2 linked regions of the Oryzias latipes genome follow. The protein of the gene in region 1 interacts with the protein of each later gene in a biochemical or structural test. Links are inferred from orthologs where the notes say so. Each region holds a gene or a part of one and is shown on either strand. Other genes may lie near its edges.

Evidence for each region.
Region 2: the proteins of wac (region 1) and rnf20 form a complex in vitro, tested with the Homo sapiens proteins (2 studies listed by BioGRID). The link is inferred for Oryzias latipes from reciprocal best matches to the Homo sapiens genes WAC and RNF20.

The regions. Positions count from the first base shown.
Region 1 is NC_019878.2:7,927,328-7,934,842, forward strand, and holds part of wac (WW domain-containing adapter protein with coiled-coil), read right to left. Parts: intron 5,539-7,515; coding exon 5,447-5,538; intron 4,241-5,446; coding exon 4,125-4,240; intron 4,006-4,124; coding exon 3,890-4,005; intron 1-3,889.
Region 2 is NC_019868.2:15,970,010-15,977,623, reverse strand, and holds the start of rnf20 (E3 ubiquitin-protein ligase BRE1A), read left to right. Parts: upstream 1-3,075; 5' UTR 3,076-3,184; intron 3,185-3,458; 5' UTR 3,459-3,467; coding exon 3,468-3,638; intron 3,639-3,742; coding exon 3,743-3,811; intron 3,812-3,909; coding exon 3,910-4,008; intron 4,009-4,092; coding exon 4,093-4,240; intron 4,241-4,337; coding exon 4,338-4,523; intron 4,524-4,621; coding exon 4,622-4,737; intron 4,738-4,850; coding exon 4,851-4,997; intron 4,998-5,072; coding exon 5,073-5,147; intron 5,148-5,679; coding exon 5,680-5,799; intron 5,800-5,886; coding exon 5,887-6,066; intron 6,067-6,147; coding exon 6,148-6,283; intron 6,284-6,380; coding exon 6,381-6,502; intron 6,503-6,630; coding exon 6,631-6,787; intron 6,788-6,864; coding exon 6,865-7,183; intron 7,184-7,316; coding exon 7,317-7,434; intron 7,435-7,614. UniProt on the Homo sapiens protein: Component of the RNF20/40 E3 ubiquitin-protein ligase complex that mediates monoubiquitination of 'Lys-120' of histone H2B (H2BK120ub1).

The sequences.
Region 1 (7,515 bases):
GAAGCTCGTTGACATAAAAATCCGCTCTTTTTCTAACTGCACTTTTACATTTGCTCCTGATTCACAACAATTTGATGGAGAAATGCACAAAAATTTAATTTAGGCTTTTTTTTTATACAAGCCCTCCATCAGACAAATGCCACGAGAACATGTTAAAAACACCAAAAACACAACTGTTTATCAAAGTGGCTCTTTAAATGCTAACTTAGTGTTAAACATGAGCAGCAGAAAGTAAATGTCATCACAAAAGCAACAAATAAAACCTGGCCTTGTGACGGGGAGTATTTTTTTTAAAGAAAATTACTGTCTATTAAACACAACACAGTGTCCTAATGTGAAAAACACCCAGCAACAAGAGTCTTGAGTCGACTCCACAGCACGACCCGGTGAAGGTGTGTTGTGACCTGGATGAGCTGCTGGGCTCTGTTGGAGCCACCAATAAAGATTCAAATAAAAACTATGATTGTCAAGTTAATTAAGCAGATCAACGAGTCGGGGCGTTTTCCTTAAACTGCTTTGTCTAAACTTTTCACATTGCCCAAACGTGTGTACCGGTATTCATGAGTGAAATGCAGCAAAGGATTTTCATATCATTGTCATCAAAAGGGATGCATCAGATGTCTGTGAAAGACTGTCTAACATTCAAAATGCCATTTCAAATGGGTTTCAAATGCAAAATACAAGCAAAGAAAAAAGAAATTAAGCAGCTATGGACAACATTTATTTTCCTTTTGACAGCTCAGCCTTGGAGTAGAGTGTCCCCCTGAAACTGGAAGGCCATAAGTTCAAATCCACGGCCGAGTCACAGCAAATGTTTTAAAAATGGGACCCAATGCAAAGAAAGAAAGAAAGGAAAAGAAAGAAAGAAAGAAAAAAGTAATCGCAGGAAAGGTTCAACATGTAATATATTTACAAATAAAGAAGGTACACAGAAGGAGTTTTCAAAGTTGTAATAATATACCTGAGCTTTTCTTTCCAAACAGTGCCTGTGACACGGCAGCAATATGGTAGTGACAGGGCTGGTTAAAAAAACATACCGGTAAAAGTCACTGAGAGCAGCAGTAACACAGAGGCAAGCGCTGCGAAGGAGGGGGCTGGAAGTTTTCTTCCACAACAGTGACACACCGTAACACAGCGCCAACAGGGCTGGTTTAAAAAAAATGAACGTAAACGTCACAGAGCTTTCTTCATCTTCCTCCTGTGCACTGAAACCATGGAAGTCTTCCTCAGTGTTGGATGATTCATTTATAGGGGCGTGATGATAACCGCATCACCGGAGTGATGACCTCATCACCTTTTTTTTTTTTGATAGTTTTTTTGTGTGAAGGTTCTGAATATGGTCCGTGATTGGAACTATAATAAACACACTAAACACATTCATCTTTGCTGATAATTTACTTTTTCTGCTAGTCCTGTGCTCAGACTTTAAGGGTTTCTGGGGGAAACCTTTTATTAATGTTCTCCTTCACTCCCTGCGCCGCGCCTCTCACTCCCTCTTAGAGCCACGTGCAGCGCAAGAGGTGAGTGGCGCAGGACGCGGCTCACTCTACTTACACAAAACACGCGGTTTCAGAAGCACATACACATCCTCATTCTACAACAGAAGTTTCCGTCTCTTGAGGAAATATGACAAATTTACTGCGTTCTAATTATGCATTTCCATTACAAGCTGAGCGCTTTCTTAAGTGCGCGACACGGCCGCCCACCGGAGGACTTTGTGTTGGGGGGGTTGGGGGATTATTCCTGTTCTCCTTCACTCTGTAATACCAAACACGAACTGTTAAATTTCGATGAATATCACTACATGTTTTGTTTGGGAACTATTTTGTGCAGCACAACGTTTCGTGTCTGTATAAACAAAACCCTAGCCTCCTGCCCTGCGTTCTTCATGGATGTCAGGCTTCATGGCTACCGGAAAGGTGACAAAGTGTCTGCAGTCTCGTTTATTACTGGGCAATATATAATATTCTGAGAAGATGTCTGTACCAGAGAGCACAGGTGAAGCCTCGCATGCAGCTCCAGAGCACTCCGCTGCAGAAGAATCAACACGCACCCCCCAACACACTTGTACGCGGTCCTTCCTCCACACGCAGCACGCTGACACAGACACGCATAGTCATTCTACAGCACCCATATGGTTAGTTCATTAGTTAGATAGGTATCAAAAATAAAAAATCCCACACTGTCACAGCTCTTTTCATTTATACGACAAGAAATCATTATGCAACCTGGCGCTCAGTGTCCACACACCACTAACCCTGCATGTAACCGGTAATCTCTCCTGCTACAACCTACACAGACAAACCAGCACCCACATCATGTGGATTCTCAGATCATAACACAATGAATGAGTTTTACAATAGAGACTGAGATCAAATGCGAAATCTCCGGAAAATTACCAACATGTATTAGCTAAGCAGTTTTCTGAATTTAAATTCTTTAACTGCAGAGAGTCTAGGTGGGAGAAATTACAATCCTTAGTAGAAAATAAATAAACAAAAACATAAAATGTACTGAAATTCAGAATTTCAGAACATATAAAGAGCAGACAAAAGGATTAAAATGAAAAGACAAACGTAGCTGCAGTACCAATTTGTTTTAAGTAGAAGTGCTTCATTTCACCTGTTGATAAAAACACCTGGAAAATGCTAAATGTACTACATACTAGTACCTACTCAATAACAACTAGAGGTACCAGAGGCTAAAAAGTAGTACTATGATGACTTCAATGTAACCAACATTGGAAAAGAGGAGCTAAAAGCATCTATTCTCCTAATTTTGTTGAGACTGGAGTTGGCAGGTTTGTTGGTGTGATCAGATGGTTTTGGATCTGAAACATTCACTACTGATACGTTTTTCTAGCCCAACAAAGAGCTAAAACTATGTTAACTGTAATCTGCCAGTTTCAGTTCTAATAAAATCACTTAAACATATCAGTCACAAAAGAATATAATATATTAGCTCACACTTGCATTTTGTCAAAATAATTTACCAAAACAAAAAAAACTTTTTTATTTGTGAGGTCGTCTGTGAAGTATAGTGGTCCCTCAATATCGCTGTCGATCTTTTGCTGTCTTAACATTTAAGTGCAATTTTGCATGCCTTTTGCTTTTTTTTTTACATTATGTTTCGTGTCCTGATTGGTTGTAAGGCATTCACAGTCAATCTCTGTGCCGTTTCTCTTGTATAGAAAGCCTTCAGCAGATCTTTGGTCTCATTCTACAATCCTGAACTTATTTTTCCTATGAAGGTTTGAACTTTGAGAGTTTAAACGAGAGAAAAGTGTAAAAATGTTCATGTCTGACTGAGAAAAGTGTATAGTGTGTAGTGAGGGGATTTAGCCTTAAATCATTGCACAAATATTAGATTTTGTCTATTATAAGTTATTTTTAGAACGCAGCTCCTGCACCAAAATGAGGGATTACTGTATATAAGTAATTTCAGTGCAATTCCATCAGATAAAACCTAGTTGTAAGGTAGGGGTGCGACAGATCATGGCTGAACCGTAAACCCCAAGGATCACTAGTTTTTAATTTCTTGTTTTCTGGAAGAGATTTGCAATCAGCCCATATTAACAGGTGCTTTAAATCAGGTAATTGATTTATAGACCTATAAGCACCAGAGGCACCACACAACTTGACAGCTAAATAATATCCAGTGACCTGTGAGAAATAATCTACAACTTTGTTATTCAGTGATGAGTAGAATGCTCTTTACACCGAAGACCTGTAATATGATCAAAACATTTGACATGCCTGACAAAATGTTTTATCTGCTAAGCATTAGCCATACTAGCTGCTAGGTTAAAACATAATTAACAGTCTGACCAATAAAACAAAGTAAGTGTGATTTAGTGAGATGAGTCAGAAAAGATCTGTGCAACACTTACTAGGACCAGTAAAGCCAGGGGCTGCTGTTGCTTGCATAGCCTCCCTTCTGTAGTCCCTGTCCTTTGGGAAATTGTTGACAACAGCAGTCTTTGTTGCCTCTTTTTGCCTTTGTTCTCTAAGCGGCAAATACAACAACACTGTTAGAGATCTGTGCTTAACAACACTTGTGCAAATGTACTTTAGTGTGCAAAGCCAAATACTGTTTCATTAGTGGAAAAAAAACCATAAAACTACCTCTCAAGCCATTCCTTGGGCTTCTCCCACTGGGAAACTTCTGTCCTACAGTTGTAATAATATTTCTTTCCAGAGGAACTGATGTGCTCTGACCAGTCATCAGCAGGCTCGAAAGGCTGAGTAGAAGAACACAAACTTAGAAACAAATGGCTTCCTGTCAGACAGACAGGTGTTTTGGTAGAGGTCTGATGCAATAGCCGGCAATCTGTTCTAAAATGCAAAGGAGGATGGGATGGAAGCAGAAGGGGAGAATTAGCTCTCCTATGACAGAAAAGTCCCCTTTAACCCTTCATCGTCAGTGTGAATTTACTTTACATCTACATTTAACATTTTAAAACTGAAGCATTTTTATGTTGTCATTAGTATGACGCTACATTCACACCGAAGGTGATTCATGTGTCAAATCTGTGTCAGGCGCATTTCTTTTGATGAGTGACAAATTTGCCACTGGACCCTTGCCAAAAACTGTGTTCATGAACGTGATGCTCCAGACGCATGTGGGAGGAGCTACTCTCCAAAGTTTTTAACTTCATCGCTACGTGAATGGGATATACATGTCTCTATATCCCATTTAGAGTGCATGGAAGACACGGATGATGTTGGGATCAGGTTCATTTATTTTCCAGATAAAAAAACATTGGTAATCATGTCTCCATTAGGTCATTCAGATTCTCCCAGTACATGAGCTTCCCCCCATCTACTGAAGGAGCGTCGTCTGAAAGACGGCGCTTTCAGCGGTACTTCTGTCTCTCGGTGACCCAGTGTGACGAATTGCTGCCTCACATTAGTCCGAGTAAGGAAAAAAGAAAAATAAGAATAAGAGAATTAGAAAATAAAAGTATGGAAAAAAATATGAAGCTCAGGAGGAGAACAATTCGATTCCCCTTCATGTTGGTTTTGTACTTCACCCCCTGATGACATCATCAAGAAGTCATGGGCAAAAGCTGAGTCCCTAATTGGTTGATGCGAGGCGTCTTTTTTGCCAAAGTATTTGAACTCTCGATGCAACGCCCAAATCATGTAGATGCCACACGCCTAATTGCGCTGCAGGACCTCTGACCACGTCCGTACATTAGTTTAAGATTAAAAATTGGATGCCCCTAACGCGTGAATCGCAGTCGGTGTGAACACAGCTGAAGAATAAACTGAAAGGAAGGAATGACCACCAATTATTTTAACGGAATGAATTAAAAAAAAAATTAACCAAAAGATTAAGACAGCATAAAATATTCAAATCTTGGTGCAACAGTCACTAAGGACCAGGTGAGCAATGTTTAGCAAGTCATTGGTCCACATTGTCTAAAGCAGAGGGGAGCACTTACTGCGTCTGAGGTCTTGTTTGGATTTGAAACCGAGTTGGAGCTATAAAGGGAAGTATGGTTGTGAGAGTTTTCTTGTGGTGAATAACTGGTACCTAAAAGAGAAAACACAGAAGGAACAGCCCATGACAAAAAGACAAAACTCAGTGAAATGCCAAGCAGATCATCTCCTGCTTGAGTTAGCTTACAGTCAGAAGTACCTAAAAGTAATTACCTCAATCGTCAACCACAACTTTATCCATTAAAAAAACAAAACGATTTGATTAAAAATACAAAAGACTTTAAAATATGAATCTATTTTTAATAATAGGTTTAACTCTCCAGCATTAAGAACATAAATCAAACAATTTCAGCCGTGTATAAAGGACTTGCACTTCTAGCTTGAGAGCTATGATTTTCACTTTGTGAACAGGAACAGGAAAAATAAGCAAGGCGGGGGGGTGGCTCTTTATATACACAACAGTCTTAAACACAAAGTTGTGGAAATGATGTCTGGCTGTATTGATGATGTCATGGAATCTGTAGAGATCAGTATGGAGGAACAGAGTAACGTCAGTGGCGTGTATCGAACCCCTGCATCAAACATTGAAACTTTTACAAGTACCATTGAAAACATGTTGGCTAATATCTCCAAAAACGTAATATTTCTTTGTGGCAATTTTGATATGGATTTGTTGAAACAAAACAATCACATCACAACAGAAGATTTTACTCATAAAATGTACAGTTTAAGCTTCTATCCATTAATCAACAAACCGAGCAAAATAACAACAAATAGAGCGACATTTATAGACAATATATTCACAAACTGCCTAGAAAACAGAATAAAAAGTGGATTGCTGAGGACTGACATCAGTGACCACCTTCCAGTATTTGCAAACTATAAATGTTTGTAGAGAAGTAAAAGAAAAAAGGCAAGTAGTTACTGAAGAAAACCAACAGAGGAATCATTAAATGCATTTAAATCAGAACTACAAGCACAAACTTGGTGATGATGCATTACCTTAAACATTTTCTGGTAAAAGCAATTGATTTTAAAAGCATTTTTTAATGCTTCTATGCTTTGAAGAAACCTCATTCTGTGTCATTTACTCATGTTGGACAAACTTTCATAGCTTTTTGCAAGCTACAACTGGAACATTTTAAAACTTTGCAGCTGCATCAGGCTTACCATCATCATTCTAGCAGATTTTCAATGACCAAACCAGAAAGAGTACCGTAAATTCCGGGTTATAGAGCGCACCCATTACAAGCCGCACCCACTCATTTTCACGTGTTGAGCTACCTTCATACACACATAAGCCACAGCAGTGTACAAGCCGCGTGTAATCAGCAATGCGGCCAACCTGTCACAGCATGTCCAGACTCCCAGACTAAATACTGCTTTTAACCCCACTGTGGGAGGAGTCGGCATAGCATCAGCTCATGTACTTGAAGATACCCACATTTAACAAACAGCATGGACCTCATTCCTGATCACAAGTTCCTCAGTTATGGTTTTTTTTGTGTGTATGTTAAGTTTTTTTTAACTTATTGACAATTGAGTTATCATACATAAAATTACAGTTACCATATAATCAACATTACATCCCTCAGTTATGATGAGGAAATTTACATCCGCGATTCCCCATTTCCCATGAGTCTTAGGGGGTTAAGGCGGGGCTATTCCCTGGGTCACCACACTGTTGTCAGTGTTTATTGAATGAGCAAGGAGCAGCGGTGGTGAGAGGGGCGAACGAGAGAGCAGCTCTCCTTGCGCTTGTGTCGCGGCAGCGTTATGGTAGTAACAGGGCTGGTTAAAAAAAACACACCAGTAAAATAAAGCAGCGGCAACTGAAAAGCACGCGCCTGAGCGCGATACGTGCGCCTCTGTGCGGCGCCCAGTCGCTGCGCGCGGCTGCTGGTGGACGGAGCGAATCGTGTCTGTGCAGAGCAATCGGACTCAATACTGTGCGTTTTGTGGATGACGGGCGAGAGAGGATGAGTTTTTACGTGTGGGAGCCTTCAGACTGCCATCTGTCCCGCAGCTCTATGTGAACGAGCAGCAGGAGAACATCATCTCATATTACGGA
Region 2 (7,614 bases), on another chromosome or scaffold:
GCACTTTGTGCACACATAGTAGTCTTTTAGGTGCACAAATAGCATTTCATGTGCACAAACCAGCATTTTGTGCACGCAAAATAATGCTTTGTGGGAAATTTAGCATTTTGTTTGCACATATGAGTATTTTGTGTGCACAAAATGCATTTCAATAACTATTTTTTAACACATATTAGGCCTTTGTGCAAACAAAATGCATTTAAAACACACAAATAGCATTTCACACGCACAAACTAGCATTTTGTGCACGCAAATTAATATTTTGTGGGGAATTGAGCATTTTGTGTGCACAAATGAGCACGTTGTGCACAAATTAGTCATTTGTTTGTGCAAAAAATGTACTTTTTTAAGCACACAAATAGGCATTTGTATGGAATATATTAGCATTTCGTGCACACAAATTACTTTTTAAGTGCATAAATTAGCATGCTGTGCGCGCAAACTCGTGTTTCATGGTCTAAATGAAAATTTTGTGTGCACAAATTTGTATTTTGTGTGGACAAATTTGTATTTTGTGGGCACACATTAGCATTTCGTTAGCATTTTGTTTGCTCATTTTAGCACAATTTAGTGGCCACTAAATGTTAATTTTGTAAACACAAAACACATATTCATGGCCACAAATTCTTTATTTAAGGAAACAATTTATAAATTCTTTCTGAATTTCCTGGGCCGCATCGTTAACAACACTGCCAGTTGCAACAAACCAGCAACCTTTAAAAGCATGTGTTTTATTTCACTGTGCAAATCAGCCATACACCATGTTTATCCTTGTGTTTATCCTTGTGTTTTCTGTCATCAAAACCTGCATCCGTTTTGCTCACTTTTGTGCAATTCAGTTGTGTCATGTGTGACCAGATTGCTCCAAATTGAAGTTTTCCAAAACTGCCTTTCTACGACAACTGATTTCGACAAAAAGATCTTTGAGCTTACATGTCGGGTTGCATCTGCAACACGAAAATAATGGCCTGCTAGTTTTTACACAACTTGGACTCTGCTCCCTGTGCAATGTTCCTTTAACACTACAGATAAGCAGAGGTTAGTTTTAATGAGTTCAAGAGCTTTTCATTTAAAAAAAATACTTTTTTTGCACAAGCGTAGAGGCAAGAGATTTTGTCACCCAATCAGTTCTACCCAGTAACTTAGTGAGAGTACATTTAATAAAGATTTATTAGTAACATCCTTATGGTAGTAGTTGAGTGAATACATGTTTATGTTTCATTTCTGATGGAAAACTACCAGCTAAAACCCCAAATCTTTTGATAAATTAGGAATTTGTGACCTCGAGGTAAAAACCAACCCAGAATAATCATGTGATCCTCTGGTTTGTCATGTGGAAACACTGTGGACTTTACTCTATTTTTAGGAAATAAGAGGGTCTGCTAATCAAAATTGTAGTGAGATTCATCAAAACTTTGATATTAAACACATAGATTCATATAGATTTTGTTAATAATTGCACACAAGACTTGTGTTATTCTCCAAACAGCTGCTGCATGGGTAAATTTCCTATTAAGGTTTTAGCTCACTTTAAGAGCCTGTTCACAAATAAAGTGATCTCTTGGCACTTCATATAAGTTAGGGTTATAAGGTCATAAGTTGAAATGATAAGCTACATTCCAGTTACATTCATGATCATTGTTTATTTATGAAGCATAATTGGAATTGCAACCGCTTGAACAAAATATAGGCAAGAGAAAAGCATGTAAGGCAATCCCAGGCAAAACAATAAAAATATAAACAATTAAAAGTATAGCAGAAATACAATATGTAACATTTTTTCTTAACGATTTTCCCTCATACATTTTACTTATTAAGAATAGGAGGAAAAAAGTTAATTAAGCCTCACTTTTGAGGGAGAACCTTCCACATGGTGAAGAGCCTTTGTTATTTTGACTGGCGTGCTAAAAAAAATAAAGCTTGATTCAATTCTGTTCCTCTCTGTAGATATAAAAGGTGAACAGTTATACTTTACTGAAAAGTATTTCTTTTCAGTTATCTCAGCTAATTGTTGTTTGGTATTATATTTAGATGAGTATCCTTCTTGTGTTGACTTGTGTTTTCAGATTTAAATGAAAATGCGATTACAATCATTACTTAAACCCACTAGAATTTTTTTTAATCTTATTTTGTTTTGAATTTTTAGGGAGAAGACTAATCTAACTTTGGCAGTCAATAAAATATCAAAATATGAGAAGAATTGTCATAGCATAATAGATACGATTACTTTTCTATGAATTCCAAAACATCACAGAAACAGTGAGACGTGTAAGGTCAACCAAACTCCCATGTTGTGGAAGTACTGTATATAATTGAGGATGAAAACTGTTATCTAAAGGAACTATACCCTTTTACTAACAAGAATATCTTGATATCTTTTATCTCTTTAGCAAATACTTCCTCTCAAATACTGCTTGTGAACACACCTAACTCGCTCTATGTGTCTTTTGGTACTTCACTGTTTGCACCTTATCTTATTACTGTGTGTAGAGAAATTAGTAAGTAGAAATTAAAAAAACATAGAACAATTCTTATTTAAATTTAAAGCTCATAATATGGTTCTTACAATGTGTGAAAACAGGAAATATGTTTTTTTTCACATTGTTTTGGGAAAAGGATCTGCACATAAATAATTCTAGAGCTTCTAAAGGTAGTCGAATTTTTCCTTTAAGAAAAATACTTCAAAGAGGTAAGTATTTGACTTCTTCAACTTTAACTTTATTTATTATGTATTTATATTTAGCTGGGGGTGGGGTCAAATACACTCATTGGTTATGTAGTTCTATTGGTCCCAATTATTTACTCTTATGTTGCCAGAGGAAATATTTTTCTATAGGTATTTCTTTGACATAATGCTCCTCTTACTTAAGGACAACTTTTTGGCTACTCTCAGGCACAAAAAATGATACGTTCCTGCAGTGGAAGATATAAAAAAAGGGAAAGCTGTTTTTTCTGTGCAGTAGATGCACTGTTTTCAAGCCCAACACCTATAACAAACAAGTGACCAGAACTAAAAGTCCCCTAACTGCTAATACCTCCTCCACGACAGCAGGGGGCGCAGTCTCCGCCGAAAAAGTGTTATTCGTAAGTGAACACCACTTCCGTTTCCTTGGGCCACGGAGCCGCAATATCAACAACCTCAGACGGGCGGGTTCTGTTTTTTTACACATAACGGTTGAAATTGGTAAGATTTAAGTGTGGGTCAACGTTTCAAAACATGACACATCTGTCCGTTTCATTTATCGGTTCCCAATGTAATATAGATAAAATCGCTAGCTAAAGTTGGCGCTTGGCTAACGCTAGCATAACCATATTCCTCCAGACAGACGATTTGAGCTATGAATTTCCTTGGTTTCTCTTGTTTTTGGGTTCAGACTGATCGTGTATTTTATCATCGAATTCATTTTCTTGGTCAATCCGAATTCCTGCTTAAGTTCTGTATGTTTTCTTTGTTTCAGAATCCGAGGATGTCGGGACAGAAGCGTCCTGCAGACTCCGGTGGGCCATCGTCCTCCGGTGGCCCACCGGAGAAGCGTCGGGAGAAGGAAGGAGAGGAGGGAGGTGCCGGCGTCAGTAGCGCTGCTGGGGGGAGCACCGCTGTGGAAACGGTCATCAAACTGGGAGGAGTGTCAAACTCTGTAAGACCTTTTCAATCTTCACCAATATCTTAAACGATCTCATCTCAAAACATGGATTTTTTTGTATGAATAGCTATATATAATATTATACTTTTATTTTTCAGGAGGAACAGGACATCAAAGCTCTTCAAGCCAAAAACCGAAAGCTGGGAGAAGCTCTCGATCAAAGACAGGTTTATTCATTTTTTCTTTTAGCAATCTCAGCCTTTTGCATACATCGAAGCCCTGATCTTTTTGAACATGTAATGAAGCTTGGTTTATTTTTCTGCAGGTGATTGAAGATGAGCTGCGGGAGCGGATTGAAAGACTGGAGACCCGTCAGGCTACCGATGATGCTAGTCTGTTGATCCTTAACAGATACTGGAACCAGGTATGTATCCTCAAAACAAAACCACAGTCTGCTGGATTTTCTCTCAGAACCCGTAACAATGGAACACCGTAAATTATCTTTCAGTTTGACGAAAACGTTCGACTGATCATCAGGCGATATGATCAAGGAAGCAGTGAGCCTGAGAAATCTCCAACAGGCGAGGGAAGAAGCTTGAAGCCTGAAACTCCTGAACCCGATGGTGACTCGAACCAGGAAAGAGCTAAAGACAGAAGTAAGGACTGTCCTCTATTTGAACAGAAACTATTAGGCCTCGTTTTACTTAATAGAAACACAAAATATTAACTTTGCTTCCTAAATTTGTCATGCAGCCCATCAGGGAGAGACCTCCAATTCCTTCTTGGCCACACTGGCCAGCAGCACCAGTGAGGAGATGGAGGCGGAGCTCCAGGAGAGGGTGGAGTCAAGCCAGAAGCAGGCCCAACGCGTGGTGGACGTTTATGAGAATCTGAAGAGCACTGTGGACCAGCTTCAGACAGAGTTGGATTCAGGCACTGGTGAGGTTTTCTGTGGAGGAACACGGGAACATTGTTCTGTATTGGAGTCAGATTTGAACACAATAAAGATAGCTTACATATTTTTAATATTCTTTCAGAGGGTAGTTTTTGGCAGGTGGTCTCCAAGCTGAACGTCCTGCTGACGAGTGAAAACGAACGGCTTCAGCAGCTGACAGAGGATCTGAAGCAGAGACACAGTCACATGACGAGCGAGGTAAAGAGCCTTTAGTTTGTTATTAGAGAATTTCTGTAGGAGGTTCATAAAATTTTAAGTACACTTTCTGCAAGTCATGAAAAAAAATCCTTATTCTTATCTGTCCTCCCCAGTCTCGGGCTTTGGGTCGTGCTACGAACAAGGCAGACCAGCGAGTCACAGAACTTCAAGCCCGGATCGAGGAGCTGCAGTGGGACATGGAGAAGATCCGCCGCAGAGAGAATAGACTAAACGCTCACCTGAGTGAAATCCTGGAGAGGGTAGGAAAGCTGAAACTTGACAACTTACATGATTTTATACTATTTGTGTCTTTTCTAACATTACTTCTGTCTCAGGTAAACAGCAAAGGCTACAAAGTGTGTGGAGAGGCCAGCAGTGTATGTGGAACCATAACTATTAACAAGAGAAAGGTAAAAGGTTTGCTTTTTAATGTAAAATTTGGCAGCTAATAACACACTCCTGATCAAAATCTTAGATCCCGTGTCTTGGTAGACAGCCCTTTGGATCCTCCGGCCCAGTGCCGCTTAATGTCCTTTGGGTCAACCTCTGCAGCGATAGCATGTTGTGGGAGGTCCATCTTTTGCAGCTTAACAATCCTTCCATGTTCAAAGAAATTGGGATTTTTTGCCTTTTGCTATCAAGAGACCTTGACAGGATGATTACTTATTAAAAATTACAATTGAATTTGGGTGCAGATTCTAGCTTTTAAGGCTGTGGTCTTAAAGGATGAACAGTCCTTTTCATTTAAATTGTTATGTCTAATAAATTGGCAGCTAAAATATTTGTTCTCTTGCTCCTCTTTCTTCTTTTTGCGTTTTGAAGCTCTATTTAGAGCCTTCTTGCAAATTCTTGCATTTTTACTGGTCTTAAGGTTTTGGTCAGAAGTGTATTGTTGTTTTTCTTCTGTGTCTTTCTGCCTCACTTGTTATATGTTTTTGACAGTTTGAGGAAATGAACAGCGAATTGGAGGAGAACAGAGAACTGGCAGAGAATCGCCTCATAGAGCTGCAGAAGCTCCAGCAGGACCTGCAAAATGTTCAACAAGAAAACAACAATGTGACGGTATCATAGCACCCGAATTAGGAAACAAAAAATTGATGTATACTTTCAAACTGCTGTTCCAAACCTCTTTCTTTCCCCTCATTTCAGGCTGAGATTCTAAGTCGAGCTGAGGGTTTAGTTAAAGACACATCAGAGTATCGCTGTCTGCAGTCGCAGTTTTCTGTTCTCTACAACGAGTCGCTGACTCTAAAGTCTCAGTTAGATGAGACACGGGCTCGCCTCAACACCACCCGGACCGCACGGCTTCGACAGCTGGAGCACATGGAGGTTTGTTCAGCCACCGTTCATGTACTGAGACCTTTGTTTTTTTTTGCCCGTTTTACCCATTCTTGCCCCCTCTGAGTGCAGAACGATGAGGTGGCTCTGCAGAGGAAGGTTCGGACAGAAGTGTTCCAGCTGGAGGACACGCTGGCTCAGGTGAAGAAGGAGTATGAGATGTTACGGATCGAGTTTGAGCAGACTCTTGCTGCCAACGAGCAAGCAGGTAACAGGTTTGGCTTCTAATATGTATACGCTCAGTTAAAATATGAAATTAGATTACAATTTTCTAACTTTAAATCCCTTCAACCTTCTTTATCAAGGTCCAATCAACAGAGAGATGCGACATCTTATTAGCACACTGCAAACCCACAACCAGCAGCTGAAGGGGGAAGTTGTGAAATACAAGTTGAGACTGAGGGAGACACAAGCTGAGCTCAACAAGGTAAGTCACACCGAGGTCAAAACTGGCTCTGACCTTGTAGTATCTATCACCTGCGGGTCAAATGAAACTCGCAGGATCTTTGCCATCGACCCCAAAATCCTCCTAAAGACGCCTGAATTTTCATGTAGGTCTGTGCCTCAAAGGGAAGCAGCATCCTTCAGTCGCAGTCGAGCACAGAGATGGACGTGAAAGACGAGACCACCTCTCCATCAATCACCACAGTTTCTGGGGAACCTGCGGTCAAGACGGAGCCAGATAATGGTTCCTCCACACCCAGCAGCACTGGTATCTACCATTCTTATTGTTTCTTTAACTACATCAATATAATATTTTTTCTATAGCTAGCTTTTCTTTTCCCGCAGGTGCCTCAGTGAAAACAGAGTCTGGTGTTGAGGCAGATGCCAACGTAAAGGAAGAAGAAAAGGATGAGAAGAGAGAGAAAGACGAAAAGAGAGAGAAGGACTTTATCAAGAAAGAGGAGAAAGAGAGGGAGCGGGAGAAGGAGAAGGAAAAAGAGAGAGAGAGACCCACCCGCAGCAGCGGGAGCAGTAATGTGATCAAAGAGGAGAAGCCAGGAGGCAGCAGCCAGCCGGAGGAGTCTGCGGCGGAGCGGATTTCTATGACTGGGGGCTCCAAGAGGAAGGAAATGGAGCAGCTGAAGATTATCCGAGCAGAGCTGAAGTATGTGAGAAATTTGAAAATGGAAAACTATTTCTCATAGAAGCTTTTTTTATTGTAGATGGTGTATGGAAACCTTATCTATTCATATTGTGATGATTTATTCTTATTATTATCACATCATCCTGTCTTGTAGGAAGGCTCAGGAGTCCCAGAGGGAGATGAAGCTGCTGCTGGACATGTATCGCTCAGCCCCCAAGGAGCAGAGGGATAAAGTTCAGCTCATGGCTGCAGAGAAGAAAACTAAGTCAGAGGTAACCGACTCTCTGTGAGACTGCCCAGACGGCGTGTCTGCATAACCGCATGAGATATTAACAGAGGAAAAAAATCAAAGTGCTGTATCAGTGAGTGGAGGAGCATAAAAGCATCCTAAATGTGCAGCTGTTTGTCAGCTTTAGGATTTGTCTTTAGTGTGCATTTGAAAAACAGTTTCA